Linked DNA regions of Elephas maximus indicus. Each later gene encodes a partner of the first gene's protein in a complex. Links are inferred from orthologs where the notes say so. Each region holds a gene or a part of one and is shown on either strand. Other genes may lie near its edges.

Region 1 (14,914 bases):
TCAGCTCTAGGTGGCTTTGGAGCCCCACCCATATCCCCTAGCCTGACAGTTCTCAGACTTGAAGGTCACATTTAAGGGAAGACAGCCCTACAGGGCCACTTCCCCACTGGAGGGCAAAAACCAGGGAAGTGTCTGCAAACAGGAAGTAAGGGTGGGTGCCAGGGAGATGAACTCACAGACAGCAGATGAACTGAACCTGTTTTATCTCCTCTGACCTTATCTTGTTCATTTATTGCTTTACGTGTGTGTGTATGTATGAAAATATATATAACAAAACATATGCCAACTCAACAATTTCTGTGTGTACAATCCAGTGACACTGATTACATTCTTCAAGTTGGGCAACCATTCTCACTATCCTTTTTCAAGCCGTTCCATCATTAACATAACCTCAGTGTGGCTCACATGTTTACCATCTGCTGCCCCTGGGAGACTCTGAGCACCATAAGGGCAGGGATGGTGGTCACAGCTGTATCTCGGCGGTCTAGCCCAGTACCCTGAACAAGACAGGCACTCCACAAATATCTCAATGGCTGAATCAATGGCTAAGTGAATGACTGATATGCTGCCTCCCCAGCTGCCTGTTTGTAGCTCAGAAAAAGAGTAGCAAACCTCCCAGAGCCTCCATCCCTGAAGGGCTAGGCACCCCCTCACCTTGGCCAAGGCTGGAAAAGTGGTTGTAATACTGCGACACGTAGGTCATGATGCTGAGGCAGTCGGGGACTCTCATGGAGACCATGTCATTGGGGTCCAGAAGAGCAGGGATCCCCAGCTCCTTCTCGGCCACCTCGAAGGCCTGGTGCGAGAAGGTAGAGGGATGGGGATGGGGCAGAAACAACCACAGCAGGAAGAGGAGGAGGCAGTGTGAGTGGGTGCCCCCTGCTGAAGCCCAGCTCCCACCAGAAGGATGAGGGGGACCAGCGGCAGGGGCAACTATGGGCTCCCTCAGCTCTCACCCACCCTGAGCCCAACAAGATGGGCTGGGGAAGGAGGAGCCTGGAGCTCAAGGTGTGGGGGAGGGGCAGCCGGGGCTTTCTCCCAGCCCCCAGCCCGGTCACCTACAGGCAAGGGCAGCTCCCAGGGGTGCTGGGTCCAGCAGCCCCTGCCTCAGCAACTACCCTGCAGGACCCACACCTTGCACACACATGCGTGCGTGCGCACACACCCACCCACACACCCACACCCCCCCCCCCCCCCCACACACACACCCGCTTTTGGGCTTCCATCTGTCAGGGGACTTACCAAGCGGTTATTCTCAAAAACATTGTCCTTGGAAAGTGAATCGAAATCTCTGCAAGAGGCAAAAGAGAGAAGGATAAGTCAGAAGGAGGACCTGTGAGCAGGGGCTGTGGCAGGGCTGTGGGGTCAGGACAGAGCACAATAGAGGTGGTATCAACCTGGCCAGCAGCAGCCTCAGCAGGGGGAGGGATCTGTGGGCGGCAGAGGAAGAAACTGAGGCAACAAGCACTTGCTCAAAACTGGGGCCACTTGCAGGAACAGGATGAGCTCATGGCCCCTGGAGGCATTCAAGCAGAGGGGGCGGAGCTCAAGCCTAAACTTTCAAGTTTAGACTCTAGGATTCTAGCTGCCTTTCCATGGAAGCCAGCGCCTGGGCTCTAGGTCAGTGGCAAACACAAAACTAAGCCCACGACTAACCCAGTGCCGTGCAGTCGATTACAACTCATAGCGACCCTATACGACAGAGTAGAACTGCCCCAAAAAGCTTCCAAGGAGCGCCTGGCAGATTCGAACTGCCAACCCTTTGGTTAGCAGCAGTGGCACTTAACCACTACGCCACCAGGGTTTCCACGCCCACGACTAGTGCTTGTAATAAGAGGGGCATCTGATTGTTGACCTCACATCGGGCACTGCTGAGCTCCTCTCCTGCATTCATTTTACTGTCACAGCAACTCTATTTACCCCATGTTACAGATGAGGACACTGAGGCCCAGGGAGGGGAAACCAGCCAGGCTGGGAACTGAAATTCTGGCCCTCCACTGCAGGTCACAGTCCCGGAGGAGCCGCGACGATTCAAAAAATCCCCAACAGAGCCCCGACCAGAGATGAATGTATTCCTTTTAATGGGGCCAGGAATAGAAGAACAAGTTTGAACCAGACTGGAACTCGTACATATTCCAGACTGCTGGCACTGAACGGCTGGCTGACCCCGCCGGTGACATCTTCCCTTGGGGGAGCAGGAAGGGGTTCTGGGATTCTAAGCCAGGACAGGTGAGAGGAGGCAGGGCCTGGAAAGGGGGGTTCCCTGGGGATGGGACAGCTGGCAGGCCTGCTGGCTTTATTTATCCCCCTCCTCCCCCTCCCCACGCTAGGTTACTGGAGTGGCTGACACCAGCAGAGGCAGCCCAGCCTCCCTCCCAGCAGCCTCCAGGGTGCACGGCACAGCTTTGCCTTCTACGGCTAAAATCGTAGCCTCGACTGCCTAGGATGGGTGGGTCCAAAGCAGTAGCGGACAGTGTCTCCAAGGCCCAGGGCCCAGGCCCTGCTCTTCCTGGCTGGTATGACCTTGGGGAGGTCAGCGGTCCTTCCAGCCCTCTGTAAACTGGGGAAGGCACCAGTACCCCCTCCCAGACTGGTGGAGAGGACAGAGTTGAGGCCTCACAGATATGAGGACGTGGGGCAAGCACCACCCCCTCCTCCCAGCCTCTACCCCTAACATTTTCTCAGGCCGAGTCTCAGTACAATGAACCTTGGGCAAAGGCAGGCAAGGGCAGCCTGGGAACCTCTGAAGGAGTCTGGCACCGCAAGTCTGGGTGGACTGGGGAGACAGGAGGAGATGGAACTCTGTGTGAGTGTCAGCCCCCTTTTTGCCATACCTGGCCGAGCCCCTTTCTTCTCCCCCAGCTGCCTCACTGACTCCCCACTGAGCAGCCTAGGCCTGGACTACCCCAAGGCTGGCCTTGGCCCTCAGCAGTGAAAAGAGCCCGGACCCTTGACTCTAGCCACCCCAATTCCCCATCACCCCCGGCTGGATTTCTGTTTTACCTTCAACCCCGCCTCTCACCTCTGGTCCCCCACAGCTGTCCTGGGGAAGGAAGGATCATGGAAGGAGGTGCTGTTTAGAATGCACTCTGGGCCAGGTTGACTAGGTTCAAAGCCCTGCTTTGCCACTGAGAGTGTGACCCACAGCAAGTTAGTTAACCTCTCCAAGCCTCAGGCTCCGGATCAGGGGAGCTATGTGGGGGGAAGAGAAGAGGAAACACCAGCCCAGCCCCCAACAAAGGCTGGTTCTGAGCTTAAATGAGACAAAATCAACATATCTCTGCCCCTTTACTCCAGTCTCCCCAGCAGTGCTCCTAGACGGCCAGGGTCATATTTTGTTTGCCCTGTGCCCCTGGCACTCCACACAGTTCCTGGTACTTAGACAAAAACCAAAAACCCACTGCTGGAGAGTCGATTCCAACTCACAGCAACCCTAGAGGACAGAGCAGAACTGCCCCATAGGGTTTCCAAGGCTGTAATCTTTACAGAAGCAGACTGCCACATCTTTCTCCTGTGGGGCAGCTGGTAGGTTTGAACCACCAACCTTTTGGTTAGCAGCCAAGCGCTTTAACCACTGCACCACCAGGGCTCCTTAGTAGGCACTCCCTAAGTGTTTGCTGAATGAATAAATGTTGAAAACCATGTGAAAACTGCATAAGTCTCTGGGAAACTACAATTCGTTTTCCTCCAACTTCTTCCCCACCCCGACCTCAGTCCCTAAACAACATCTAGCCTTTGGTAGCTCACATTATTTTTTGAGAATTTTCAAAAGGAGGGAAGTTCTTTTTGGCTCTGGGGGAAATGAAAGACACAAAACAAAACCAACAAACTCCCTTTAAAAGAGCTGGAAGAGCACAGGGAGTCCTTGGGTGGCACAAATGGTTAACATGTTTGGCTGCTAACTGAAAGGTTGGAGGTTCGAGTCTATTCAGAGGAGCCTCAGAATAAAGGCCTGGTGATGTGTTTCCGAAAAATCAGCCATTGGAAACCCTATGGAGCACGGTTCTACTCTGACACACATGGGGTCCTCAGGAGTCGTAATCAACTCCTTGGCAACAGGTACTGGTAAAGGTCATACACATAGATACCAGGATATGCGGGGAGGAACATGGACCAGCCCCTCACCACCAAAGCAGGATATTCCCCAGCAGAGGCCTAGGCTACCACTGGGTTCAACTGTGCAGGGCCCACAGCTCCAGGAGCTTGAGAGGGGGTCTTGCTTGCCCCACTTTCATGGAGATCCTCTCCTACCCATCTGTAAGGCCCGCCCTATGCCTTATGGGAGACCTGGGCCTCAGTGGCTCTCCTGCACAATGAGCTGGCAGCCCAGGCGCTGCCCTGCCTTGCAATGAATGCCTGGACACGATTCTGGCTTTCCTCTCAGGAGGGGAGCCACACTTTCCTCCATGCCTCCTGTGGCCACACCGCTCCCTTGCTTAAAACCCACAGGGCTCCCTTGCAGTGAGTGGACATAGCCACCTCCTTGGTCAACAAAAAATGTCATGAGGAATCTGGCCAGCAGCACCTCCTGACCCTCCCTGCCTGGCGCAACCCACTCCAGCAGCACTGCCTGAGGCTCCACATACCTCACACCTCTGCACCTCTGCTCAGGTGGTCCCTCTGCCCAGAATGCCCCTCACCTAACCACTGCCGTATCATTGAAGACTCTGTTCTCCCTTGGGAAGCCTTCCCAGCCTGGCCCTCTGAGACAGCACTTATCACATGGAATTATCATCACTGTTGATGCACCTGCTTCCTCACACAGACTGTGGGAGACTGTGTGGGGTTTCTGTCTGCTTGTTACCTTGGTGGGTATCTCCATTACCAGGCTCAGTGTCCAGCACAGAGTAGTAACTCTACAATAAATAGTTGTTGAATAAACAAAGAAACAAAACACTCTCATCACTCACCCCCTCTACTGCCTAATACTACTACTTAACAATAACTAATGCTAACTGAACACTTATTATTATCTCATTGAGTCCTCACAACAGCTCTTTGAGGTAGGTCTTATTGTGATCAACCCTACTCTACAGATGAGGAAACTGATGCCTGGAGGGACACAGTCATTTACCCAAGGTCACACACCTGGGATATGGAGAGGCTGAACACCAACCAGGCAGCCTGCACTATGATGCCAACAGGCTCAGGTACACCAAATGGCTCAGCTTGACACCCAAGTCCCTTCATACACTGGCCCTGTCCCCTGCCTCCTGCCTCACTGCCTGCTCCCCAGCCAAACCAAAGCCTCCTTGAGCCCTCCACTCCATTCCAACCCAAGGATCCAATCCCAGTACTCACACCCCTAAAACCTCCCTCAGGGCCCGACCCACACCACCCACAGCTATTGTACCAACCAAAAACAAAAACCAGCACCATCAAATCCCTGAGGCAATCCTTCCCGTCTGTCCCTCCTTTATCAAAGCCCTTCCCAGGCTGCTGTCTAGCAGGCAAAGACACAGACTCAGAGCCCTGGGAAGGGCATTCCAGACAGGGGCGCCGTCAGTAAGGGAGGCGAGGACCATGACTCCTGCCTCAATTTGCAGATGAGAGGCCTGAAGCCCAAGGAATGGTGGGCACCAGACAAGCATTCACTCAATTTTATAAAGGAATGAATGAATGAAAGGAAGAGGTTCCAGGGCCCAAGAGAGGAGCTGAGATAGATGCCACAAGTCAGCTGCTCTGGGCTCTGAATAAATTTTCTCAAGAGAACCTCAATGGGCAGTTCGAGGAGGAAAGAACAATTTCACAGTCTGAAGCAGCTGGTTGCAGTTTGTTCCCAAGGCCACTAAGCCCCATTTTTCTTCCCTGACACATCACCTTCCTGCCTCACTGAGAAGGGTTGGAGGCACACACCTGGGGAGGCGGGTCTGCGTCCTAACTTGAGGGGAGGGGGTGTACATTCATGCATCCAACAATTGTTAACTAGGGTCTCTGCCAAGTACCGTGCTCGTGTCCTGTAGACAACGATCTCCCTGGGAATCAGACGTGAGGGTTCACTGTAATCACAGAGCAAGGGGGTGCCCACAGAGTGAGCAGGCCTCAATGCCCCGGGGAGGGCCAGCAGCCCTAGGGGGAGCCTCGTGTCCCTGTTTGAGAGGAGAAGCTCAAGGAGTTGGGGGGCTGCGTTCCTGGGGCGGAAAGTCTCCTGTGGGCGGGGTCAGCGCCCCTAGGCTGAGGGCACCAGCAAGGGCTCCGGTGCAGAGTTCCAGCGGGCGGGGTCAGAGGCTTAGTGGGGCGGCGAGGGGGCCCTGGGTTGGGGTCTCAGTGACCCGCGGGGCGTTCCGCGTCGGCCGGTAGGGTCGGCGTCTCCGTCTCCGTCTCCGTCTCCGGGGGGTGGTGCCTGTCACCGCCCGGCGCCGCGTCACTGAGAGGGGCGGGGGTCCCCAGCCCGGGCCCGCGCCGCCCGCCCGCCCTCGAGCACTCACAGCAGGTCAGGCCGGTGGCGGTGCAGGATGGCGCAGAAGGCCAGGCCGTCCCGGAAGGAGGTGCTCAGGTCGCGGATGTCCACGCCGCGGTAGCCCTCGCACTGGCGGCGGCACCAGGCCAGCAGCGCGCCCCGCGGCCCCGCCATGGCTGCGCGGGGCTCGGCCCGGCTCCGGGCGCCCCGGGCTCAGGCCTCGCGCGCGGGCTCCGGGCTCCGGGCTCGGGCTGCGGCTCCGCGCGGCGCTCAGGGCCGATTTCCGGCTGCGGCTCGGCGCGGCCCTGCCCGGCACGCTGGGAGCTCCGGGCGCCGACCTGCGGCCGTGGGAGAGGCGGGAGGAGGCGGGGCCGCGCTCGGGGCCCGGGCTCGCTCCCTGTGCGCCCGCCCGGACCTGCCCGAGCAGCCGCGGGCGGCCGCTTACTCACCGCCGCCCGCTCCCCTCATTGTGGGCCGGCCGTCGGCGCAGCGCGGGCAGCCCTCCAGCCGGCCGCCACGCCCGCGCGAGGCCCGCCCGCCGCCGCCGCCGGGGAGCGGAGGGGGCGGTGACCTGGGCCCCACCCAGCGGTGGCTCCGCCCCTAGGCGCGGACCCCCACAAAGGGAATGACACCCACAGCCCCTCCCTCGAGGATCCCAGTCACCCCTTCCCCTCGATCATTCCCTTTCCCTTAAAGAACTCTGGGACTGCCCCTCCAGTCCCCTCACCCACCGCAAACTAGCCTCTCCGCGCATAACTTCCTCCACCCACACCACCTGCACCACCACCCTGCCCACCTGGAACTCTCCTCCCCTCGGAAAGAGGCACCTCCCTCTTTCTACCGTCCTGCCTCTTTCCTCTTCTTTGGCCTCAAACCAAACCCATTGCTGTCCAGCCGATTCTGACTCAAATCGACCCTAGAGGACAGAGCGTAACTGCCCCATAGAGTTTCCAAGGCTGTAATCTTTAGGAGAGCCACATCTTCCTCCTGCGGAGCGGCTGGTGGGTGGTGGGTTTGAACCGCTGACCTTTTGGTTCGCTGCTGAACGTGTAACCGCTGTGCCACCCGGGCTCCCTGTTTGGCCTAAAAGGACCCGCGAATTCCCCATACTAACTTCTCTAATCGTCCCACACACACACACACACACACACACACACACACACACACACACACACCCCGCTGAGGCCTGAAGCTTTGGGGAGGCATTTTCCCTCACTTCAGGTACTTCCCCTGCAGAACCCCCTAGGGACGCCAGTTGGCCTCATTCTTTCTCACCACTCCACAACACCCTGGTCGTTTCCTCTTCCACAGTCTCCTCCCCTCGTAGCCTGTCAGGGAGATTCTATGCCATCCCCTCCCTCCTAGCGTCAGTCCCTTGTCCACTCAGTGATGTATTCAGCATCTGCCATCACAGACCCTGACAACCACCAAGTCGTACAGAAATCTCCTCACACCGTGTGTAGCCTCAGGGAATTGCCCCCATCCCACTGAGGCCTTGGTCCCCTTAGGCCCTGACTAGAGTGGTGGTGGGTGGGGCTCCCCCAGGACCAATGGGAAGCAGACCCCAGTCTGGTGGAGGAGGGCACTGGGGGGCCTTAAACTGGCCTTGGAACCTACCCAGCCTCATTCTCTACAACCTTTCCCCTCACCCACACACACACCCCTTCCCTACCTCTCCACCAGAAGCCTATCCTGACTTTCCAGGCCGATGAATCAGCCTTCCACTCACTTCCATGGTGGTGACATCACTCTGACCAGCACAATAGTTGGGATGGGGCTGTTACCCATTCCCCAAGGGGAGGAACAGAGTCTTAGTCACCTTTATCAACCCTCAACACTTGAGAGAGTGGAAAGAATGCGGATTTTGGCGTCAGACTGACCCAGGCTTGAGTCCTGGCATCCCCACTCTCAGCCCTGTGATCCTGTGCCTCCCTGACCTCAGTTTCCACATCTTAAAAATGGGGCTAACTCCTGCCTGATAAGGTGGCTGAAAGGATTAAGGTCATCACTTATAGGTTCTAACTCTTGATATAGTACGTACCTGGTAAACGTGTGGGAAATTGGATTGAAAACGTTTGTACCCATCTTGTCATCTGGACCATTGTGGGTGAATTATGAAGGAGAGATGCTGGCTTGGGGATCCCAATCCCTCAAAGGTCCTCTGAGTCCCAGTCTACCGTACAATTATGACACAAGGCCTGGGGACCACAGTGTGTTAACCTGGGCCAGCCTCATGCCCCTGGGCATGTCTCAGGTTGAAAGGCCCTCATCTTGGCCCAGAATATGGACTCCCAGGTCATCTAGGAAGGAGCTTTCTGGCCAGCCCTCTTGGCCTCTTTCCAGCCCTGAGCTACTACCCCCTGCCCTATCCCTTGGCGAAAAGCAGCTCCAAGAAACCAGGGTTCTAGGTGCCCTCAGTAAATCAGGAACTTGGGCTCAGGATCCTGAGACCAACATTGACCTTGGCCTTTGGAAACCATCCAGGACTTTTTCATTAAAACTCAGGTGGGCTTATAACCCTATCCCACCAGCCTATGGGGCTCCCTTCAGGTCCCTGAAGATAGCTCCAGATCTGCCCTTGATTGCCATCCCATTGCCATAATAATAGCTTACCTGGCATGTCCCTCTAGGCCTCCATTAGCCCATCTGTGGGCTTTGTCCAGTCATTACCTGAGTCAGCTCTCAGCACGCTGTGAGGTAAGGACCTGCGTATCCACAGCTGCATGACCGCAGGTAGATGACTCACCCCTCTGAACTCCCATTTCCTACCCTGGAAAGTGGAGATAGTCATCTGCCCCGCCTGTGTCCCGGGCTTGTGGACTAGTCAAGTGAGCTAATGGATTAAGAATGCCCTGCAGACTGTAAATCCAGGTAGAAGGTGGGTCTTTGTTGACAGGTGAGGACAGAAGCCACAGACAAATAGGCGGTCTCGGCCACTTGCCCAAAATTACGCCATAATTTCAGGATTAGGACTGAGGGATTTGGGCCCCTGATTCAGTGGTGTTTTGTTTTCTTTTTAAACTATCAATTAAGAAGTGAATACACTCTCCTTACCAAAATTCAAAAATAAAATAAAGCTAAATGTTCTGCTTGACTCCCCCTCAATTCCAATCTTTTTCTAAGAGGTAGCGGCAGTTGATTTGAAATTTATTCTTCCAGACCTTGTTCATGCATTTACATCCGAGCATGGATTCAACAAATGTTTATTGAGCATCTATTGTGGGCCAGGTGCTGGGGCTCCAGGGGACATAAGGGTAAACAGGACAAGGCCCCTGCCGTCATGCAGCTAACATTCTAGTGGAAAAGAAGCAATGAGCAAGTAATCAAATCAACAAAGATAACTCCAGATGGTGACAGTGACTAGGAAGAAAAGCAAGATGCTGTGATAGAGGATGATGGGGACAATCAGGGCAACCAGGGAAGGCCACATTTGAGCTGAAGGATAAGAAGGAGCCAGCTGTCAAAGATCTTGAGGCCGTACTTCCAGGGAGAGGAGACAGCCAAGACAAAGGCCCTAGGGGGGAAAGAGTCTGCTATTTTCAAGTACAACGAGGTGAACAGACTGGAGCTAAGTGAGGTCCAAGAGGTGGACAAAGAGGAATCCATGTAGGGACTTGTAGAGCTGGGAGATGGCTTTGCTCTCTGCTCAGCAGGAAGTCATTGTAGAGTCTTACGGGAGTGACACAATCTAATATTTTATTAAAGGTTGTTTTGGGCAAATGGACCTTAGGGGGACAAGAGTGGACACAGGGACACCAGTCTGGAGGCCACTGTAGTCATCAAGGCAAGAGATGATGGAGGCCTGGACCAGGGCAGGGCAGTGGGGATGGCAGTGGATGGACTGGGAACGTGTTGTGGGTGAGGAACCACAGGTCTCGCTGATTGATTGAATGTAGGCATGAAGCAGGAGTCAAAGATGGCTACAAGGCTTTGGGCTTCAACAACTGGGTGGATGCTGGGGGCCATTAGGTGCGATGGAGGAGAGGGACGAGGCACAGGGTTGCAGGATGGGGAAATGATTCCTCTGTATTGACCATCTGCACTGTGTCAGGTTCAGATATGAAAGAGGCAGCCCCTGCCCTCAAGTTATCCATGGTCCATTGCATGGACTTTTCAACTCTTAGCCTCCTTTGACATGAGCGACGAGTGAGGTTCCACAGGTGCTCGTGGTGCCTCAGTGCCACTAATAAACTAGGCCTCCGTCGTGGGCAATGCCCTGCTCCCTAACTGCAACTCCATACCTTCTCCCCACCCATCCTCCAAAAAGCAAGTTGAATGTAAGAGAGATGTCATTACAGGTAGAGCTCGAATCCTTTCAAATTTATTGCAAGATATATCATTCACACTTTTCTGTGCTTTAGCAAGATAATTGGAGCACATCCTGGTGAGGTACAGAGGCTCCAAGGTAACTCTGCATCCAGCATAAGAAACAAGAAAGTTCAGGGAACCACAAGAGTCCAGAGGAGGCCCCTGACCAGTCTGGGGTCAGACTACTGTGCCTTCGCTTACATTCTTCTTGCCAACATGCTGTGCGGGGAGGTGTAAAAGCAGGCTAAAAAAAAAGAACCCATTGGAGGTGAAAGAAGCTAACATTTAATGAGCACTGGTGGGATAAATGAGTGAGTAAATGAACAAATGAATGATCAGGACCTAGAGTTTACATTCCAGTCTCTGAAAAAGAACATCATATTTGGAAGATGGTCAGCAAAAATGAGGGAAGCCCTCCATGAGACTGATTGACACAGTAACCACAACTCAAATATACCAATGGTCGTGTAGATGGCGCAGGACCCACCAACGCTTCACTTTCGTATACATAAGGTCGCCACGAGTAGGAGCCACCTGGATAGCAACCAACAACAACAACATAGTTTACATTTATTTCCCCACACAGATCTCAAGGTAAGTTTCAGAAAGATAAAAAGGGTGAGGTCCAAGGAAGGGGATCTAGAGAGGGCCTAGGAGAAAAGAATATCATCATGCCCTGGCAATGTTCCACCCAGGAACCTCTGGCTTTTGTCTCTGCCCAGCTCTGTACCTGTTTAGAGATTTGTGGGCTACTTCTTACAGAAGCCAGAAGTCTTCAAGGCGTGGAATATGCATGTGTGTGTGTGTGTTCCTGGTTGGGGGAGGAGATGTTTGGATGGCTCCATTTCACCCACCACCCACTCTCTTTGTCTTGCCGGAAGATCCTGGACAAGGATGGCACCTTCCAAGGTTCCATGTCAACATCCATAAAAGTTGAAAATTTGCTCACCCTCTGATGCAGCAGGCCTGTGTCTAGGATTCTATCCTCTGAAATACTGTCCCAGGGGCCCCAAGATATACAAAGATATGTATTGTCCGCTAATGGCAAAGCGCTGGGAAGAATCTACATATTCATCAGTAGGAGTCTGGAGAAATCAGTTACTGCCCAGCCAGACAACAGAAAGCCACACCACTGTTAAAACGAATGTTGTAGAAATACATCCTCAAAAGACGTGAAAATAGCATACTGAGTAATAACAGGTATAATAGAATTCCATTTTTGTAAAACAAAAATTTAATATATATGTTGTATGTGTTTATGTACCTAAACACTTACGTAAATGTATATGGCATTTTAAATGTCAGGAAGGAAGGATATGCACCCCAGTGCATGAGGCTGGGTGTGGCAGACCTGCTTTTTACAAGCCATTATTGCTTGAATTTCCAACAACTTGCAAGTATAACTTTTTCTTAACAACAGCTTTATTGAAATATCTTTCACATACCATATCATTCACTCTTTTAAAGCATGCAGTTCAGCATTTTGATCAAAGGTCCATAGAAGAATCCTGATCAAAAGGGGGAAATTTTAGAACAGAATTTCAAATTCTAACACACCATAGATTTTCTGGAGCTATGGAGAGCGGATGAACCCCTGTGCAGTGCAGGGAATTACTTATTATGGCCCTTGTAGTCTTTGTAACTCCCACCAAATGACTAGGGGGGACTACGCAAATGAGGGCTTGTGGCCCACCAAGGGGGTTGGATAGCTTGCTAATGATATAAATAAGGTGCATGGCACCCTTGTGGGAGCTGGACCATGTAAATAAAGTGTATGGAACCCTAACGAGGGGCTTGGTCAGTTTTGCCATCCCACTAGGCTTAAAAGAGCCAATTCCAGAGCAGACGGGGACCTGTAGGACCTCACTACAACCAAGAAGAAAAGACAGGAGCAGGATATGTCCTTTAGGCCTGGGATCCCTGTACTGAAACCCTCACCGACTCAGGAGACAGAGACCCAAAGATGGCGAGAAGCAGCTGCAGAGAAACGGTGGCAGCAGAGGCAGGTGACCTGCAGGAGACCTGCGGGAGACAGTGTGTCTTCAGGCAGGAGGCTTGCTGTAGGAGTAGGGTCCCTCCAGGCCTTGGTGGAGCTGGGTTTGCCAATCCACGGAGCTAGAGCTGAGGGCCTTCAGGCAGAGGCTTACTGGCAGAGTGGGGTGCCTCTAGACACTCATCAGCAGAGCTAAAAGAACTTTGAAATACCCCAGCAGAGGAGAGGCCGAGGGGCCAGACAGAAGTGTGCCTGTGGGCACAGCTGAGAAGAGGCTGTCCTGATAGAATAAATGTATCTTTGGCATTCTTGAACCTGAATTGCAATCTATTACTTCTTTAATAAACCTCATAACTGTGAGTATTGCCTGTGAGTCCTGTGTGGCCATTGCAACGAATTATCGAACCCAGCAGAGGAGTAGAATGCCGTGGGAGGGAAGTTGGTAAAAAGGCTTGCAGGGTGGAAGCGTATCTGACCTCCACATCAAAGGAATCAGCCTTGGCTACTGATCTTGATTCTCCTTCCACCTTGTGAAGTTAGAGGAGAACAGATGCCCACTGCCACACCATTTTTACACCCTGAAACTATTGCCCTGAGAAAATGTTTAAACCTCAAACCGAAAATCTCCTTTGAAGTCTTCTTAAAACCGAACAATGGTTTAGCTTAACAGGTAAAAAAAAGGTCTGCCTTGAACTTATTATGCTCTTTTAAGAATTATCCATATGGAGTCAAATTGACAACAACATCTCAAAAGATTTGATAGGAACCTTAGGGGGCTGTAAGTTTATGTCAATGAGGGAGGAAGAACTCAGAAAAGGAGGGTGAGAATGGTTGCATAACTCAAAGAATGTAATTAGTGTCACTAAATTGTACATGTAGAAACTGTTGAGTTGGTCTTTGTTTTGCTGTGTATATGGAGCCCTGGTGGCATAGTGGTTAAATGCTCGGCTGCTAACCAAAAGGTTAGCAGTTCGAACCCACCAGTTGCTCTGCGGGAACAAGATGTGGCAGTCTGCTTCCGTAAAGATCACAGCCTTGGAAATCCTATGGGGCACTTCTACCCTGTCCTATAGGGTCACTAGGAGTCAAAATCAAAACTCAAAAGTGTTGGGTTTTGGGCTTTTTTTTTTTTTTTTGCTGTGCGTATTCTCAACAACAACAAAATAAAATTTAAAGAAAAAAAGCGTGCATTTCTGTGGTTTTCAGTATAATCATAGAGTGATACAGTCATCACTATCATCTAATTTTAGAATCTTTTCATCACCCCAAAAAGAAACCCCATACCCATCAGCAGTAACCCTCCATTTTCCCCTTCCGCCAGCCCTGCCTCTGAACTGTGGTGTTGGTGAAGAATACTGAATATACCAAGGACTGCCAAAAGAACGAATAAATCTGTCTTGGAAGAAGTACAGCCAGAATGCTCCTCAGAAGCCAGGATGGTGAGACTTGGTCTCATGTACTTTGGACAGGTTATCAGGAGGGACTAGTCCCTGGAGAAGGACATCATGCTTGGTAAAGGGTCAGCAAAAGAGAAGAAGACCCTCACCTAGAGGGACTGACAACAGTGGCTGCAACAATGGGCTCAAGCATGATGATTGTGAGGATGGTGCAGAGCCGGGCAGTGTTTCATTCTGTTGTGCATAGGGTCGCTGTGAGTCAGAAATGGCACCTAACAATGGCCTAACAGCCAGCCCCTGGCAACCATTAAACTACTTTCTGTCTCTGTAGATTTGGCTGTTCTGGACATCTCATATAAATGGAATCCTAACACGTGGCCTTTTGTATCTGGCTTCTTTCACTTAGAATAATTAGCAAATATAACTCACATAATTAAAAAAAAAAAACAAAACCGTTGCCGTGGAATCCATTCCAACTCGTGGCAACCACGTGTGTTTCAGAGTAGAACTGTGCTCCATAGGGTTTTTAATGGCTGTGATCTTTCAGAAGTAGATTGCCAGGCCTTTCTTCCCAGGCACCTCTAGGTAGACTCGAACTCCAGCCTCTCAGTTAGTAGCCCAGCATTTAACCATTTGCACCACCCGGGGACTTGTTACACAATTAAACAAATGAAGTAAAATGAGGATGTGGGGCCAAGTGAACTCAGCTATGCTCCCTCCTTAGTTCAGACAGTCTTGGACCACAGTACCTGTGGCCTTCTAATTCTAGGATCATGTTTTCTAAGCATCTGACTGTCGGATTCTAGGATTCTCCAC
Region 2 (15,391 bases), on another chromosome or scaffold:
ATGCCTGGAGAGGACTTGAGGGGGCAGTGGCCTGCAGCATACAGGTGGAGCTAAAGGCAGTGATCATTCAGGCAGCAAGATTCACGTGCTTCATTTGTCCCTTCAGGCTGCTGAGGCCAGAGGACATTGGGGTTTGCGGTGCAATGAATCACTTTTATAGGGCCTTTCTTGCCATGGTCTTGTAACATCCACAAAATAATTGGCCGGGACTATGCAAATAAGGTGCTTGGGGCCCACCAAGGGAATTGGACAGCTTGCTAACAATGCAAATAAGCTGCGTGAAACTCTGCAGGGATGAGAACATGCAGATGAGGTGTATGGAAACCTAATAAGGGGACTGGTCAGTTTTGCCACCATGCTAGGCTTAAAAAGAGAGCGAATTCTAGAGAAGAGAGTGGACCTCATTATCACCAAGAATGAAGAGCCAGGAGTAGAGTGCATCCCTTGAAACTGGGGACAAAGAGACAGGTGTAACACCAGAGACAGCTAGAGGCAGCAAGAAGCAGCAGCAGAGAAGCAGCGGCAGGAGAAGCAGGAGACTGCCGTGAGACAGCTCAGTGGGCTTCCCAGCCTACGGTATGAGGTGGCTACAGTGCGTGTGCCAACCCACAGAGCAAGAGAGCCGAGTGCCTTCGGGCAGGAGGCTTACTGGCGGAGTAGGGTACCTCGGAGTAGGGTACCTCCCTCCAGGCACGTATTGGCAGAAGCTGATGAGCTTTGTAACACTTGCCCGAGAAGGGCAGATGCGGGGCCCGGGGGGCCGAGGGCCAGAGAGAGGCCTGCCTGCTGGCACGGCTGAGAAGCAGCTGTCCTGAGGAAAGAACTGTATCCTAAATTGTTGCTGATCCTGATTTGAACCTGTTACTTCCCTAAAAAACCTCATAATCGTTAGTATTGTCTATGAGTTGTGTGTGGCCACTGCAACGGATTACTGAACCCAAGAGAGAAGGCGGGGGGGGGGGGGGGGACGGCTGGTGTCAGAAGTGTTAAAAAGATTGAAAAGAAGAGGTATGCCTGACCTCTGCCTCACAACAATTAGCCTTGGGCTGTTGATCTTGATTCTGCTCCCCCCTTGTGAGGTTAGACGAGGAGGTTTCACACCCCCGACACAATTTATTACAGGGTTACACCTACCTTATCAACTTATGCAGGGTAAGGGGGACCCGAGGCCATTGCCAGGTTACCCTTGATATCACTGCAGAAGGTGAAATTCCCATATGCCAAATAACTACCACTCCCCACGGAGGGAGTCCCCACCCATTAACCTGTCCACAGCAAAGGCCTGGGGGCCCAGGCAGGGCCCACCGGGGTCTCTGGGGAGTTTTGGGCAAACCCTGCGTGCTGAGCTCAGCTGCCGCTCCTGCCTCAAGATGGGGCCATAGGCCACAGGGGACTGAGACACATGTTTGGAAGCCACAGTGGCAGTGGGATGTCTCCTCTAGCCCAGCAGTTGAACTCCAGTTTGTACCCAAGGTGCTCAGAAGCCTCAGCTCCGCAAAGCATTCTGTGGGGCCTTGCCCACATGGTCCCCCAGCTGCAGGGCAGTGAGGGGCTGGAGAGGCCATGGAGCCCATGAGCAAGGATGCTGCTTCAGGCAGGTTCCTGCCAGCCTGGGCTGGGGAAGAGGCTCTTGAAATCCCCTTCCTCTGCTTGTCCACAACCCGGCCTTGTGGTTTCAGATGGTTAGCTCAGAACAGAGCACAGTGTGCAAGCTCCAGAGACCCAGCTTCTCATTCAGATCTGGGTGACTCCAAGCAACTTAGCATCCCTGGGCCTCAGGCTTTTTCTCACTGGGATTTGAAAGCAGCTAGTCCACCAGCTGCTCCATGGGAAAATGATGTGGCAGTCTGATTCCGTAAAGATTACAGTCTGGGAAACCCTATGGGGCAGTTCTACTCTGTCCTATAGGGTGGCTATGAGTCAGAATCAATGGCATGAGTTTTTGAGATCCTGAGCTCTGACACTCTGTCACCTCCAAGCTGGGCCTTGGTTGCCAGACACCTGTTGAAGTCTCTAAAAAACCAGTTGCCATCGAGTCAATTTTGATTCGTGGTAGGTCAGAGCAGAACTGCGCTCCAAAGTGTTTCTAATGGCCGATTTATCAGGAGGAGATTGCCAGGGCTCTCTTCTGAGGCGCCTCTGAATGGGCTCAAACTTCCAACTTTTTTGATCCGTAGCTGAGCTTTTTAACCCTTTGCACCACGCAGGGACTCTGCTGAGGTCTCTAGAGCCCAGCCACTCTCCGCAGAGCCCAAGCCCTCAGGGCCATGTCCAGTGCTTCTCTCAGGAGGGTGAGTGGGAACAGCCAAAGTGCAAGGCCTGTGGCCTTCCTGGCCAGCGGAGGTGGCCCACAGCCCCACACCCTCCGAAGACTTCGCCATGCAAAGGAGCAGACCTTGCAGTTCTTTACCTTATTTGGGCAAAACTGATCTGTTGACCAAATCCATTTGTCTTCAGATACAAAAAGCCATGCTTATACGCAAACGAGGAGCCCTGGTGGAGCAACGGTTAAGTGCTTGGCTGCTAACCGAAAGGTTGGCAATTCTAACCCACCAGCCACTCTTCAGGAGAAAAGTCCTGTTTATCTGCTCATGTAAAGATTACAGCCTAGGCAACCCTATGGGGCAGTTCTACTCTGTCCTACAGGGCCACTATGAGTCACGGTCAACATGAAGGCACACAACAACGGCACATGCAAACTTTCTCAGCGGCAAGAACAAGCCGGTCCACATCCCAGTGACAAGACTGTGTTTTGGCTTTTCTCAGCCCAACTTTTCTGCCAAATTTGGAGAAAAACTCCATCTTTTTTTTTTTTTAAGTTGTCTTTGGGGCCTTGTAGACACTTCTCTTAAAAACAAACAAAACTGGTTGCCATCGAGTTGACCCCAATCCATGGCGACCCCGTGTGTGTCAAAGCAGAACTGTACTCCTTAGGGTTTTCAATGGTTGACTTTTCAGAAGTAGATCTCCAGGCCTTTTTTGCAAGGCGCCTCTGGGTGGACTCGAACTTCCAACCTTTCAGTTAGCACCCAAAAGTGTTAACTGTTTGTACCACCCAGGGACTACGCACTTCTCTAGATCAGGCCATGATGAGACTGAGCAGACTGCTTTGAGGGAAGGGGGCAACAGGAGACCCTTCTCTGGCAGCTGACAGAGAGCAGCCCCCACCAGAGATGCAACCATGCCCCAGCCCCTGGCTCTGCAGGTGTGTTTGTGAATCTAAAGAAGACACCAGGAGAGGGAACGGGCATTACCTCTGAGATAAAAGGAGAATATTGGAACCCTTTCTCAGTCTCTTGCCCTGGACCCAGGAAAGTGAAACAGGGCAGAAACCAAAAACGAAATAAATGGTTTGTTCACATTTAACAAAACTCTCCCACTGAACAGAAGTGGCTCTACTCAAAACACAACAGTGAAAAAAAAGGAGGCCGTTTTCACAATGTGGGGCATTACAATACAGGGAAGCTGCCCAGACCCTAGGTGCCACGCCTGTGAGGCCCAGGAAACTCATTCCGAGAGACCTCCTCCTTCCAGTCCTTTGAGTTCCTTGGACAAAGTCAAGGGACCATACATGTAAGCCCAGCCTGGGTTTCATTTATAAATAACCCAGGAACATTTTGTTGTTTTCACTGTTATTGGGCTGAGTTTTCCCAGCACACAGGGCTCTGGGGAGATGTGACAACTGTGGTGGGTCGATGCCAGGGCTGCTGGGATCGTCGTGGCCTCATTCAGCCCATCGAACAACTGCCTCATTCAAGACCCTGGGCCCTGGCTCTTCTCTGGACCAGCCCAGAAACTGCATCTCCGGGGCGGGCCCCTCAGAGCACCATGCTGGAGGCAAACCCTTTGGGTTCTGAGGCTGGTCCAGGAAGTCTGGCCTGGGCCGCCCGAGGCTCCTGGTCACCAGCGGGCTGCAACCTGGGTGATGGTCCTGCTTTGGAGCCTCAATGTCCTCTTTTGAGGAGAATGCCAAAAAAAAAAAAAATCTGGTGGCTCTATATTTTACAAATCCTTGATGGAAAGAATGCTAAGGAAATTCCAAGTAAAAGCAGAAAGGCAGGGGCCTAAGATCACAGACAGGGACGGAATTACTCCTGCACTCCCCTGAGGGTGAGGGAGGAAGGGGGGAAGGCAATAGATTTAACATTACTATCCCATATGCAATTCTATTTCAACCTATGTGATCTGTATTTTTATTCCTGTTTTATAGACGAGAGCCAAAGCAGAGATAGGAATGGAATGAGGGAGAGAGCCTTGCATACTTCAGAGGGGGAACATTCCAGACAAGAGGACCAGCAAGGACAAAGGCCCAAGGGCCGGAAGATTCTTGTTTGTTTTTTTTTTTAATGTGTAAACCCATTGCCATCAAGTCAATTCCGACTCATAGTGACCAGTCCCTGGAGAAGGACATCACACTCGGTAGAAGGTCGGCAAAAAAGAAGACCCCCAACAAGATGGATTGACACAGTGGCTACAGCAAGGGGCTCAAACACAGCAGCGACCGTGAGGGTGGCACAGGACCAGGCAGCGTTCTGTTGTACACGGGTTGGCTATGAACCAAAACTGACTCAACGGCACCTAACAGCAACAACGGGTTAGCTTTTTTTTTTTTTTTTTTATTGCAGTGAACATATACACGCCAAAACATTCAATAGCACAACTGCCACATTTATAATTCAGTAACACTGATTACATTTTTCATGTTGTGCTGCCACTATCGTCATCCGCATCTGAAACACACCATCGCCACTAGTGTAAACTCAATGTCCCCCCTACAAATGGCCTGGCAGAGGCATCTGACCTCCTCTAACTTCGCGAGGGGGAGGGAGAAACAAGGTCAACAGCCCAAGGCTGATTCCTATGAGGTAGAGGTCAGGCTTAGCTTCCTTTGCCGGCTTTTCACCAGTTCTGACACTATCTGTCCCTCCCACTGCACACTCTACTTTTCTGCTCGGTTTGATAACTCATTGCAATAGCCACACAGAACTCCCAGATCATACTCACAGTTATGGGGTTTACTAGGGAAGCAACATGTTACAATTCAGGCTCAGGAACGCTCAGGATACAGTTCTTCCATCGGGACAGCCTCTTCACAGCCGTGCCCGCAGGCAGGCCTCTCCCCGGGCCCCTGGCCCCTCAGCTGCTCACCTGGCCTCTGCCCTGCTCCATCAAGTGTTACAAACCTCTTTTAGCTTTGCCAGTAAGTGCCCGGAGGCACCCCGCTCCAGCAGCAAACCTCAGCCCGAAGGTGCTCAGCTAGGTTTCTAGTCCTGTGGGCTGGGAAGCCCACCACCCCCTCTCCTGTAGGGGTCTCCAGGTTCCACTGCTGCCATCTCTCTCTCTCTCTGTCTCTTTAAGCCTAGCAGGGTGGCAAAACTGACCAATCCCCTTGTTATGGTTCCATGCACCTCATTTGCATAGTCCCACCTAGTCATTTGGTGGCAGTTACAAAGACTATGGCTAGAAAGGCCATATCAAGTAATTCACTGCACCACACCCCCCAAACATAAACTCCCTCTTTCCCCCTCCCTCCCACCCATGGTAACCACTAATAATCTTTGGTTTCTATATATTTGCTTCATACATGTGGTATCATACAGTTATTTGTCCTTTTGCGGCTGAGTTATTTAGCTCAACAAAATGTTTTCAAGTTATATCCACATTTGGGCATGCATGTGTTGTTAATGGATTGAACTGTGGCCCACCAAAATATGTTGTAAATGTTAACCCCTGTGCCTGCAGATGTAATCCCATTTGGGACTAGGGTTCTATCTGTTATGCTAATGAGGCCCTACCTGCAGTGTAGGGTGTCTTAAGCCAATTACTTTCAAGATATAAAAAGGCAGATTAGACATAGAAGCAAAGAAGCACAGATTGGGGAAGACAGACGCCAGGTTACATGAAGAGCACCAAGAAACAGAGGGACAGATGCTAAAAATAGATAAGGACCTTCCTCCAGAGCCAAAAGACAGAGAACTTTCCCCTAGAGCCAGTGCCCTGCATTCAAACTTCTAGCCTCCTAAATTTCGAGAAAATAAATTCCTGTTCCTTCAAGCAACCCACTTGTGGTATTTCTCTTACTGCAGCACTTGGGAATTAAGATATATGTATATATACCACATTGTTTATCCCAGAATATTCTCAATGTGTCAGAGGGCCTTGTGGTGAGAACAGACGAGGCAGGCCTGAGTCTAGAGGAAGTCCACTGACTGTAAATTAGTTCAACTTCCAGGAAGGAAGTTTGTTGCCATCTACCAAGATTATAAATGCTCAACTTCAGGAATTTGTTCTAAGACATGTTTGCATATTTGAGAAATGATATACGTGTAAGATGATTTACAGCAGAGTTGTCTGTGAGAGCAAAAGATGGGAAGCAACATAAACGTCCTTCAATTTCACCCTCTGCAGAGCAGAGGAGAAATGCCTGCTTTTGCAAAGCGAGAAGCTACATCAGGAGGGTTATTCTGGAAGGGTAAAGAGATGGGGCGAGAGGCTCATCAGAGGCTGTGATAACAGGCCAAGGGTGACATACCAAGGACCAGAAGAGACTACGGAGGTAAGTGGGGCCAGGTGGGGTTCTGGGCCTGCAGTGGAGGTGGGGCCTGGAAGAGGACATGTCCAGCAGGCTGCTGGGGGCTCAAGAAGAGTCAGCTGCACTGCACAGACATTTGCTTGGAAGCACAGAATGAACCAGCTTCTAAAAGGGCAGATTCAGAGAGAGAACAAAGGAATGGGTGGCCCATCCCAGGAGCCCCGAGGCACCAGCTCTGATTATCTGCAGAAGACCATGCCTAGCCGTGGCAGTAAGATGGCGATGAAGAGGTCAAACACCCAATGAGGCCAGGAGCAAGGGGCAACCAAACCTCCCTTTCCTATTCCATGGGCTGGGAAAAAGGGAGTATGTTAGGGGTATGGAGTTGTCTGGAAAAATCCAGGAGTCTGTTCTGTCAAAGGCTCAGTCCCCTCCTGGCGCCAACCCAGCCTTCTGCAACCTGGAGAGGTAGAAGGCCTTGTCGAACATGCTTGGCCCCACTCCCTAATGTCATGTCCCCATCCCTCCAGGCCCAGACTGAGAGTCTCTGGGCCCTTCTCCCCGTATAAAGCCAACCTTCCTTCCTTCTGCCCAGCCAACCCTGCTCCTCCAAGACCTTCCTTCCTCCTTGGCTAGTCCATCTCCCTGTCTTCAGGCTCCTCCTCTGCAAAGGAACATAGAATATCTTCACCTCTTCAGCCATGACACCAGTCCTTCACCCTGCAGCCCTCTCTGGCTACTCCCCACCCCATCATCACCTCTGAGTGAGATTTCTTTTCTCTGTTCCTGCTTCTCACCTTCTGTTCCCTACTTCATCCTGTTCCCACCATCCCCCCAAAGTGTTCTCACTTACTTGGTTCATGATTTTCATCATGCCAACTCCAGGGGACATTTCCAGTTCTTATTTTACTGGCCTGCTCTGTCATCTGGTACAAGAGATACTTCTCGGAAGCATCTCCTCCCAGTCTTTCCTGCGTGCCCCGCTCCTTTTCCACTCTGCCCCTCATATGCTCATTCTTTCTCATGGTATCAATTATGCATTGGGAGAAGGCTGCAAGAAGCAAGAATTTGCCCTTGAACAGGCAAGAGAAAGGAAGAAGTAGGCTGAGAGACAAGGTGGGATGCATGGGCATGGAGAGGGCAGAGAGAATCTTATTGGAAAGGGGGTTAGGCAGAAAAACAGACCCACAACGGCACATCCCTCAGAAGGTACTGAGGCCTTTCTTTCAGGAATACCTGCTCCACAAGTGTAACAAGGGGTGGGTAACTAACTCTCCCATCTTGCCCTCTCTGATTCTGACTTGACTCATCTCCCCTAAGATATGCTGCTTCTTCTCAGGTTCAAGTTCTCCCAGACTCCAGCCTACCTCTTAGCCTCTTGCCCAGCCTACTTTCTTCCTGGATATAGGCACCCAGCCCTACAGGTTTCCACATCTCCTAAGAAGTCAGAGAGATGGTCTGAAGGACTTCAAGTCCCCAGGTTCATTTTAGATCTGTCCAGGAGACTCTGCTCACCCCCACCCCACAACACTTTGGTGTCCTGTTTACGTAACAATCACAGTCCCCAAAGTTCTGACCTCACCTACTGAAGATTCTCACCAGCCCGGACAGCCAAGAGAGACTATGTGTGACCAGAGGTGATGACGGGGGGACAAGCCTAATGGAACGGCCAGAAACTGGTAAGGGGGGGGGGTCACAGCCACAGTCCGACCAGACTAAAAGATGGTAACGGTGGTGACCCTGAGAAGAAAGAGGAAGTATTTGGGTTTTTTAATTCCCCTAAATTCCCACAAGATTTCATTGTTGCCCCACATTTCCCCTCTTTCCCACATAGGGAATTTCCGATTTCACTTCCTCAAAACTCAAGTGGCCAGAGGGCCTCGACTTCCTCTTTACCTCCTCCGGCCCACCCTCCACAGTTGCAGCCTCTTCAGACAGGCCTCTTCTCCCTACTCAGGTGCAAGTCATTCATATCCTCCATTCCTTGTGTCCATCTCCCAATTCCAAGCCTGCTGGCCTCAGGGGAGGTCAGGCCTCTGGCTGCTGGTCTGTCTTTCTCCTCGGCCTTCTCCCTCCCCGTGTTTCTTTTCCTAGACACCACTCTGCCTCGGATTCTCCCCTCCCTCACCTTCCCCTACTACTCCTTTCTTGGTTCTCCGTCTCCCAAGGCAGACGAAAGGTGAGGGGATGAGAGGGAGTTACGAGTCATGGAAGCAGGGGCAAGACGAGGAAGCAACAAAGGGCAGTGCAGGAAAGGAGGAGCTGTGGCCCCAGGGTCCTCTGACACTTCGAGGATTCTTTTGGTGGAAGAAGGAGGATCAAACTGGGGTCAAACTGGGGATGGGTTGGGTATTCAGAGAGCTGGGATGTCTGAGTATTTCTCGGAAACTTGAGGCCGGGTGGAGGGGTCTACGAGCGCTGGAGGGCGGGCAGCCCCTGGGGACTGCCTCGCGCCCGACTCCCACATTCCGCCTACTCAACCGCAGCACTTCCGCGAGCCGCCCTACTAGGGGCGGGGCGAAACAGGTGCGGTTGCCACGGCACCAGTTATGGCGGCCAGGGCCAAGGAGCGGGGCAAACTGGGCTCGCGAGATTTGGAACCGGCCAATGGGAGGCAGGGAAGAGGAGGACGTGGCGCGGGTTCGTGGGCGGGGACGGGAACGGCTCCTCCCCTATCCTCCCAAGTCTCCGCTGTGCCGCGCAGCGGGAGCGCGCGCTCCAGAACGCGGGGCCTGGCCTTATAAAGGGCGCACGGGGCGGCGCGCGCTCCACTCTGCAGAGGGCGACTCCGCGGGCCGTGGCGTGCGCCTGCGCAGTGTGGGCCGCCCCCGCCCCCGGCCCCGCCGCCGCCCCTCCGCCGGCAGGTCCGGCCCCGCCTCGCCTCGGCCCCGGCCCTCGTCCCGCTCTCAGCCACCGATCTGCCTGCAGCGGCCAGCCCCGTGTCCAGAAACATGTTCAGCTGGGTCAGCAAGGATGCCCGCCGCAAGAAGGAGCCGGAGCTCTTCCAGACGGTGGCCGAGGGGCTGCGGCAGCTCTACGCGCAGAAGCTGCTGCCCCTGGAGGAGCATTACCGCTTCCATGAGTTCCACTCGCCGGCGCTGGAGGACGCCGACTTCGACAACAAGCCCATGGTGCTCCTCGTGGGCCAGTACAGTACGGGCAAGACCACCTTCATCCGGCACTTGATCGAGCAGGACTTCCCGGGGATGCGCATCGGGCCCGAGCCCACCACCGACTCCTTCATCGCCGTCATGCACGGCCCCACCGAGGGCGTGGTGCCCGGCAACGCGCTCGTTGTTGACCCGCGGCGCCCTTTCCGCAAGCTCAACGCCTTCGGCAACGCCTTCCTCAACAGGTATTCCCCCCACCCCGCGATCCCGGGGGGCGGGGGGGACCAGGGCCCAGATCGCGCACTCGGGCCCCGACCCGACCCGCCCTCGGCCTCCGCCCCCATCGTCCTTTGTCTCCGAGGCCCCGGAGGGACCCCTCAACAACCTCTCCCTGGGACAGGAGCCCCTGTCGCGTCCCACAGAAAGCCCACTCCCGAGGTCTGGGAGTAGGCGTCGCCAGTTTCCCCGGCTTCTACCGCCCCCAGAATTGTCCAGGTCATCAGTTTAACTCCCAAACCCTCCCACAGACCCCAGCCCCACTTCCCTGGCAACCAGGGCCCGCGCTGGGAAGGTGACAGATTCCTGTCCTCCTGTTCTAGGTCTCCACCTCCTGCCCCCAGTCCTTCCCCTGGGCGGCATGCACCCAGTTCATTCAAATCTCTTCCCCCCTCCCCCTTGACTTACTTCAAGGGTCTGTTTCTTAAGCGTTATGGAGGAACACGATGTAACTTTCAGCCATTCTCTGGGCTGGTGTGGTGTGTGTTTCTGCTTTGCCTCCCCTGGGGCCGTGGTTTGTGGAGGGCCAGGGAAGCTCTGCTGTGGCCCGCGCACTCGGGCAGCCCCCAGCAGACAGATGGACACTTCTCCCAGAGGCTGCTCTGGAACAATCTGCAGTGCGTGAGGCGGTGGGACCCAGGAATGGGATCCAGTCCCTAAGTCCTAATGTAGACTCTCTAGGAGGCCCCCTAAACTATTGGGCCTCAGTTTCTCCAGTTCAGTGGGTAGAACCTGCTTCCTCACGATGAGGGTAGTCCTCCAAGATTCTCATCCTCACAGTGGGTGCTCACCTTTCTGTAAAGGAACTGGACAGTGCTGTCAGTGGTCATGAACCCTCCCCCTCCCCCCCCCCCCAGGACATACCAAAGGACACAGCTTCTGCCATCTCTCCCACGTCCCATTCAGGGAGTGACTTCACGTGCCTTTCAAAGGCTGAGTCCGAGGAAGAGCCTAGAAAAGAATCCTTGAATCTTGCTGTCCAGGTCTCCGCCCTGTATGATCACATTCCTTTCCTTCCAGAGTTGTTCAGCCCCACAGGGCGGGCTAGCCTGTCTCTGAGTGGAGCCAGTGGCCAGGCCTCCGCTGGGCACAGAGCTGACCTTTCCCAGAGAAGACCAATGGGCTTCTCCCTGGTTTTCTGCCGCTTTCAGGTGTGTTTTATAGCTGTCCTGTTTTATGGCGCTCAGGATTTGAGTGCTGGAGCCAGAGTTGAGAGGCGCTTCTGACTGAAGCCCCAGAGAGGCAGGTCCACTTAGCCTGGGGCCTTCCTCCAATTTCCCTGAGTTTTAGAATCATGATGCTTCGTGAGAAACAGTTGGCTCAGACAGTCAGCTGGTGGAAGCCTTACTTAGCGGGTGGAAAGTTTGGCTGCTATGTCGGAAATTCCACACTTGAGGTCTCTACTTTCATCTAGGACTTTGGGACGCTAGAAGGAAGGTTAACTACACCTGCCTCTGCTGTCTTTAGGGCTTCACCGTTGAGTGCAAGAGCACACCTTTTTTGAAGGCAGAGGCAGGTCACGTGGCCCTTTTCTGAATCTGGGGACCTAGAGTTTTATCTAGCCCTGTTGGTTGTCCAATCTGAGGCTCAGAGGGCCCAGGTGACTTGTTGAGATCACACCAACCACCTGGCCTTTGAATAGCCAACCTCCGCTTATGGCTGCTTCTATGCAAAAAAGAGCTGGCAGGAGCGCTTGGTCCACGACAGGCACTTAGATGACCACAGGACCCGACCACCACACTTTTTGTTTCCCTCCTGCCGTCACCTTATCTCCAGAGGGTCCCTGACCACTAATGGCCTGGGCTGGGGGGTTTGCGCTCACTTGTGCTGTGTCAGGATGTGTGGTGCACAGTGCAGCTGGGGAAGGAGGGCACAACAAAGGGGGCTTTTCTCTGGCTGATACAGCCTCTCCCAGACTCTTAAAGAGACCCATTGAATCATGAACTTGACTTTCCAGACTTTAGACCTGAGTGGCTGCCCTAATGGGGCTGACCTAGGCAGGGTGCGATCAGGGTGTCCTAAGAGAGTCTTGTGAAAACTCCTTGTTGCGTAACTGGTGCTGCTCACTTGTAGTAAGAGAAGAGATCCCTGTGTCCTTGTTGGTGAAGACGGGACCCATCCACGCGGCCCACTCCCGGTCGTGTTTTCTGCCGCACTCACTGGCCTTTGCAGAGCCACTGCATTGTCCTGGTGTGAACTTGCTCGCCAGGCTCCTTCCAAAGCTTTTGGATGTGTGTGGCTTCTCAGAGCTAGTTCGCCTGCCCATCCTTCTATTTTACCTTCTCTCCTGGTGCATAGTTGTTTATGGCATGCAACAGTCGGCTCGCTGCTGGTGCTAGCGAGAAGGTCCAAGGTTTGCTCACCCGTGTGCGGGTCAGCTGGTTTTGCTCTGTTGGCACTTGCAACGGCACTTCTCACCCTGGCCAGCTGCTCCCAGCCTGTGGGCCACTGGTCACTTGGGGGATGGGGCCAGCAGCCACACTAAACAGTTCAGATTCCTCCCCACTGTTGGTCAGGCCATGTCTGCGTCCTGCAGACAATGAGTCAGTATTTTCTTTGCTCACAATACCTTTTTCAGAGAAGTTTTTAAAGGACCCTCTTTTGTGTCCAGTAAAGAATCCCAGCTATCAGTTTGGACAGCCTGGCCGCTCTGAGCTTAGTGTGGAACTCAGGCACACACAACTAAGCCCTCACCCATGAGTCGCAGGCCTCCCCGTGGCTTTGTTCTTGTTTGGCCTGCTTTGATTTTCAGAGAATGGTGTGTCTGTGCTTCCCTACCCCATTATCAACCAGCCGTTTGCCGTCCCTTCACCCCCAGCCACTGGGTGAAAGGAGAGGGCTGGACCTGGCCCCAGAAGCATTAGGAAGGGACCATTTCTCTTTGGTGTGTAGAAATTTAGCCAAGTGGTTGAAAATTTCAGTATGGAATTCTGAGGTCCTAGTGTCACCCCCCCTCCCCCCCATTTCCCTTCTGAGTTGAATGATGACCGAGGCTAGTGGAATTTTCACTAACAAGTCAGCAACTTGAGAGTTGAACTCTCGAACTCTGGGGGAAAAGCTAATGCAGGGAAGTGCTGATGTGGGTCAGTTTCAGGCTGCTGGTTGGGTTCCCAGTTCAGAAGGTCCATACACGTGCTGGCCACCCTGGAAATGAAGACGACGGCAATGACCTTTAAGTTGCTCGCTTTCGGAAGGGAAGCCAGAGGTGGCGATGAAGGCGTGCAGAAAGCACTGTGGTCACATTGTGAGCAGCAAGAACGTGGCCTTGACCCCTCTCTTCCCGGCTCTTGCTGCCTGCAGGTTCATGTGCGCCCAGCTGCCTAACCCTGTCCTGGAGAGCATAAGCATCATCGACACTCCCGGAATCCTCTCCGGAGAGAAGCAGCGCATCAGCAGAGGTAACCCATCCTGACCACCGCCAGCACCTGGTCTAGTCAGACAGCTTCTGTTTGACGTCTGGGACATGGACCAGGTGCTGCCCTGGAGGTTTCTTCCCACCCTGGGCTCTTGTTTTCAGTGTACCCAAGTGAAAAACCATTTGACAGGAGCCTTTTGTCTGCACAGTGCTTGGGACACAGAGCCAGGAGCTACTTTGTTCCTTGACTCCCTCTGCCAAGCTCACAAGAACAGTCACGGCGAGGCCACAGCCAGCTTTGTGTGGCCCCTGGGACACCTGGAAAGGGGAGCGAATTGGGAGGTGTGGGCTCAAAGGGAGTTGCTCCATAGCCGTGTTCCAGGTCCAGCAGGTAGCACTGCTGTGCGTGAGCCCACAGCTCCAAAGCTGTGTACGTGCCTAGTGAGCAGGACCTCCAGAGCCAAAAGGAGAAGCTAGCAGAGGTCTGTTAGACGTTGAGGAGCTAGTGGAAATTTGCTTAAATGGTGGTCATCAGCAGCCTCTGGGTGCTGTGCGTGGCATAGGGTTTTCATGCTGAGGATTGGTGCACCGGAGTCTGTGGGTGGCAGAATTGTTGAAGTGCTCGACTATTAGCCGAAACATTTGTGGTTCAGACCCACCCAGAGGTGCTTCAGAAGACAGGCCTGGTGATCTCCTTCCAAAAGGTCTCAGCCTTAAAAAACCCTGCAGGGGCAGTTCTACTTTGCCAACACAGGGTCGCCATGAGTTGGAGTTGTCCCGACAGCAACCAACAGCACCAGCAGTGGTGCACAGGCCCAGTCCAGTGATGGAAACACCTGTCCAGATTTTGCCAGGCTTTTCTAACTATCTGGTTCAGGATGAGCCTGAACTCCCCTTTGGTAGAAAGAAGGGCAGCGTGGGGCCTGAGTGCTCTCCTGGGGAGCGTGAAGACAGCAGGGTGGTACCTGGCCTCCTCAGAAGTGGAGGCTGCTTCGCAGCTGCAGACATGAAAGTGAAATAAGATGAAACTCGGAGGGGTTAAGGGCAAGTGACCAGATTTGTTTATAATTAACTTGCAAATCTTTTCTGACTATTTCCCTCTTGGCCACCGGGCAGTGGTGAGCTTTGCAGTTGAAGGTGGCAGCCTGAGATTGGGAGTGGGGGATGTCCTTGTCTCTCTCTGGTGGCTCTGTGGGGGTGCGGGCCTGTTCCGGGTGCCGAGAAACCAGGGCTTTTTGTTCTCCAGGCTGTGAGCACACTGAAAGTGCTCTATCTGCAGATCTAAATTGGGTTTAAAAGTCACCAGTTAAGATTCTAGGTTCTCCCCACCCTGGTGATAAATGTCACTCCTGGGAGTTTAAGGGAGTAGATTTGGAACACCTCATAAAAAAAAAGCAATCGCTATGTTTGTTCTTTTTTACTGTTCTTTATTACTGTTGCAACGTGGTTTTAAGAACGTACCTGATAATCAAAAAAAGCCCTGTCATTTGGTAAAACAAGGCTAGAAAATTGGAATAAGTTACTTGTAAAAGGCAAAAGAAAGAACCACAACAGCTGAGGCTCCATGGAGTTAATCTTGGGTATGACCTGGAGGAGGACGTGGACTTGGGTTCTCCTGACATGGCCATCAGATAGAGGTCATCAGCTAGAGGCCGAGCCACCTCGGGGCTTTGGACAATGCTCTAGCCCCAGCAGGCATTAGGCCTTCAGTGGTGAGTACACATCTTCAGATAAGGGACAGTAGCCCACAGGTGGAGGCCTGTCTTCCCAGAATGCTGCAGGCTGCTCAGCCTGGCCCTCAGTGCAGGGAGCGAAGGTATTTGAGAATACGCGCAGGCCTAGGGTTCTACGGCCCATGTTGCCTCATAAAAAGGAACTCAGAAACAGCTGTTTTCCACCCTGTGCTGTGAAGCCCCACTGAGCTATCTTTGGCACTTCAGCCTCGAGTCCAGAGCTTAGCAGGCTGAGAAGTTTTGAATACAAGTCTTGATGTATGCGCTACCCTGCCCTGCTGGGATCCACCCTTCTACTGTCCTGTCCCTGCTGCGTCCTTTCCTGGTTAGGACTTCGGGAGGAGCGGCAGTGATGTCTCAGTGCGCCCCATAGTCAGTGAATGAG

The links.
Region 2: the proteins of MICALL1 (region 1) and EHD1 are in contact, whole or in part, in an NMR structure (PDB 2KSP), measured with the Homo sapiens proteins. The link is inferred for Elephas maximus indicus from reciprocal best matches to the Homo sapiens genes MICALL1 and EHD1. Residues at the interface, in NP_203744.1 of Homo sapiens: Lys422, Tyr424, Asn425, Pro426, Phe427, Glu428, Glu429; in NP_001269373.1 of Homo sapiens: Gly464, Ala467, Lys468, Met471, Asn478, Leu481, Gly482, Trp485, Lys486, Lys492, Asp493, Gly494.

What each region holds. Positions count from the first base shown.
Region 1 is NC_064822.1:181,793,227-181,808,140, reverse strand, and holds the start of MICALL1 (MICAL-like protein 1), read right to left. Parts: upstream 6,901-14,914; 5' UTR 6,575-6,900; coding exon 6,429-6,574; intron 1,292-6,428; coding exon 1,243-1,291; intron 797-1,242; coding exon 655-796; intron 1-654. UniProt on the Homo sapiens protein: Lipid-binding protein with higher affinity for phosphatidic acid, a lipid enriched in recycling endosome membranes. On endosome membranes, acts as a downstream effector of Rab proteins recruiting cytosolic proteins to regulate membrane tubulation.
Region 2 is NC_064825.1:128,039,145-128,054,535, reverse strand, and holds the start of EHD1 (EH domain-containing protein 1), read left to right. Parts: upstream 1-9,351; 5' UTR 9,352-9,483; coding exon 9,484-9,887; intron 9,888-13,218; coding exon 13,219-13,316; intron 13,317-15,391. UniProt on the Homo sapiens protein: ATP- and membrane-binding protein that controls membrane reorganization/tubulation upon ATP hydrolysis. In vitro causes vesiculation of endocytic membranes. Acts in early endocytic membrane fusion and membrane trafficking of recycling endosomes.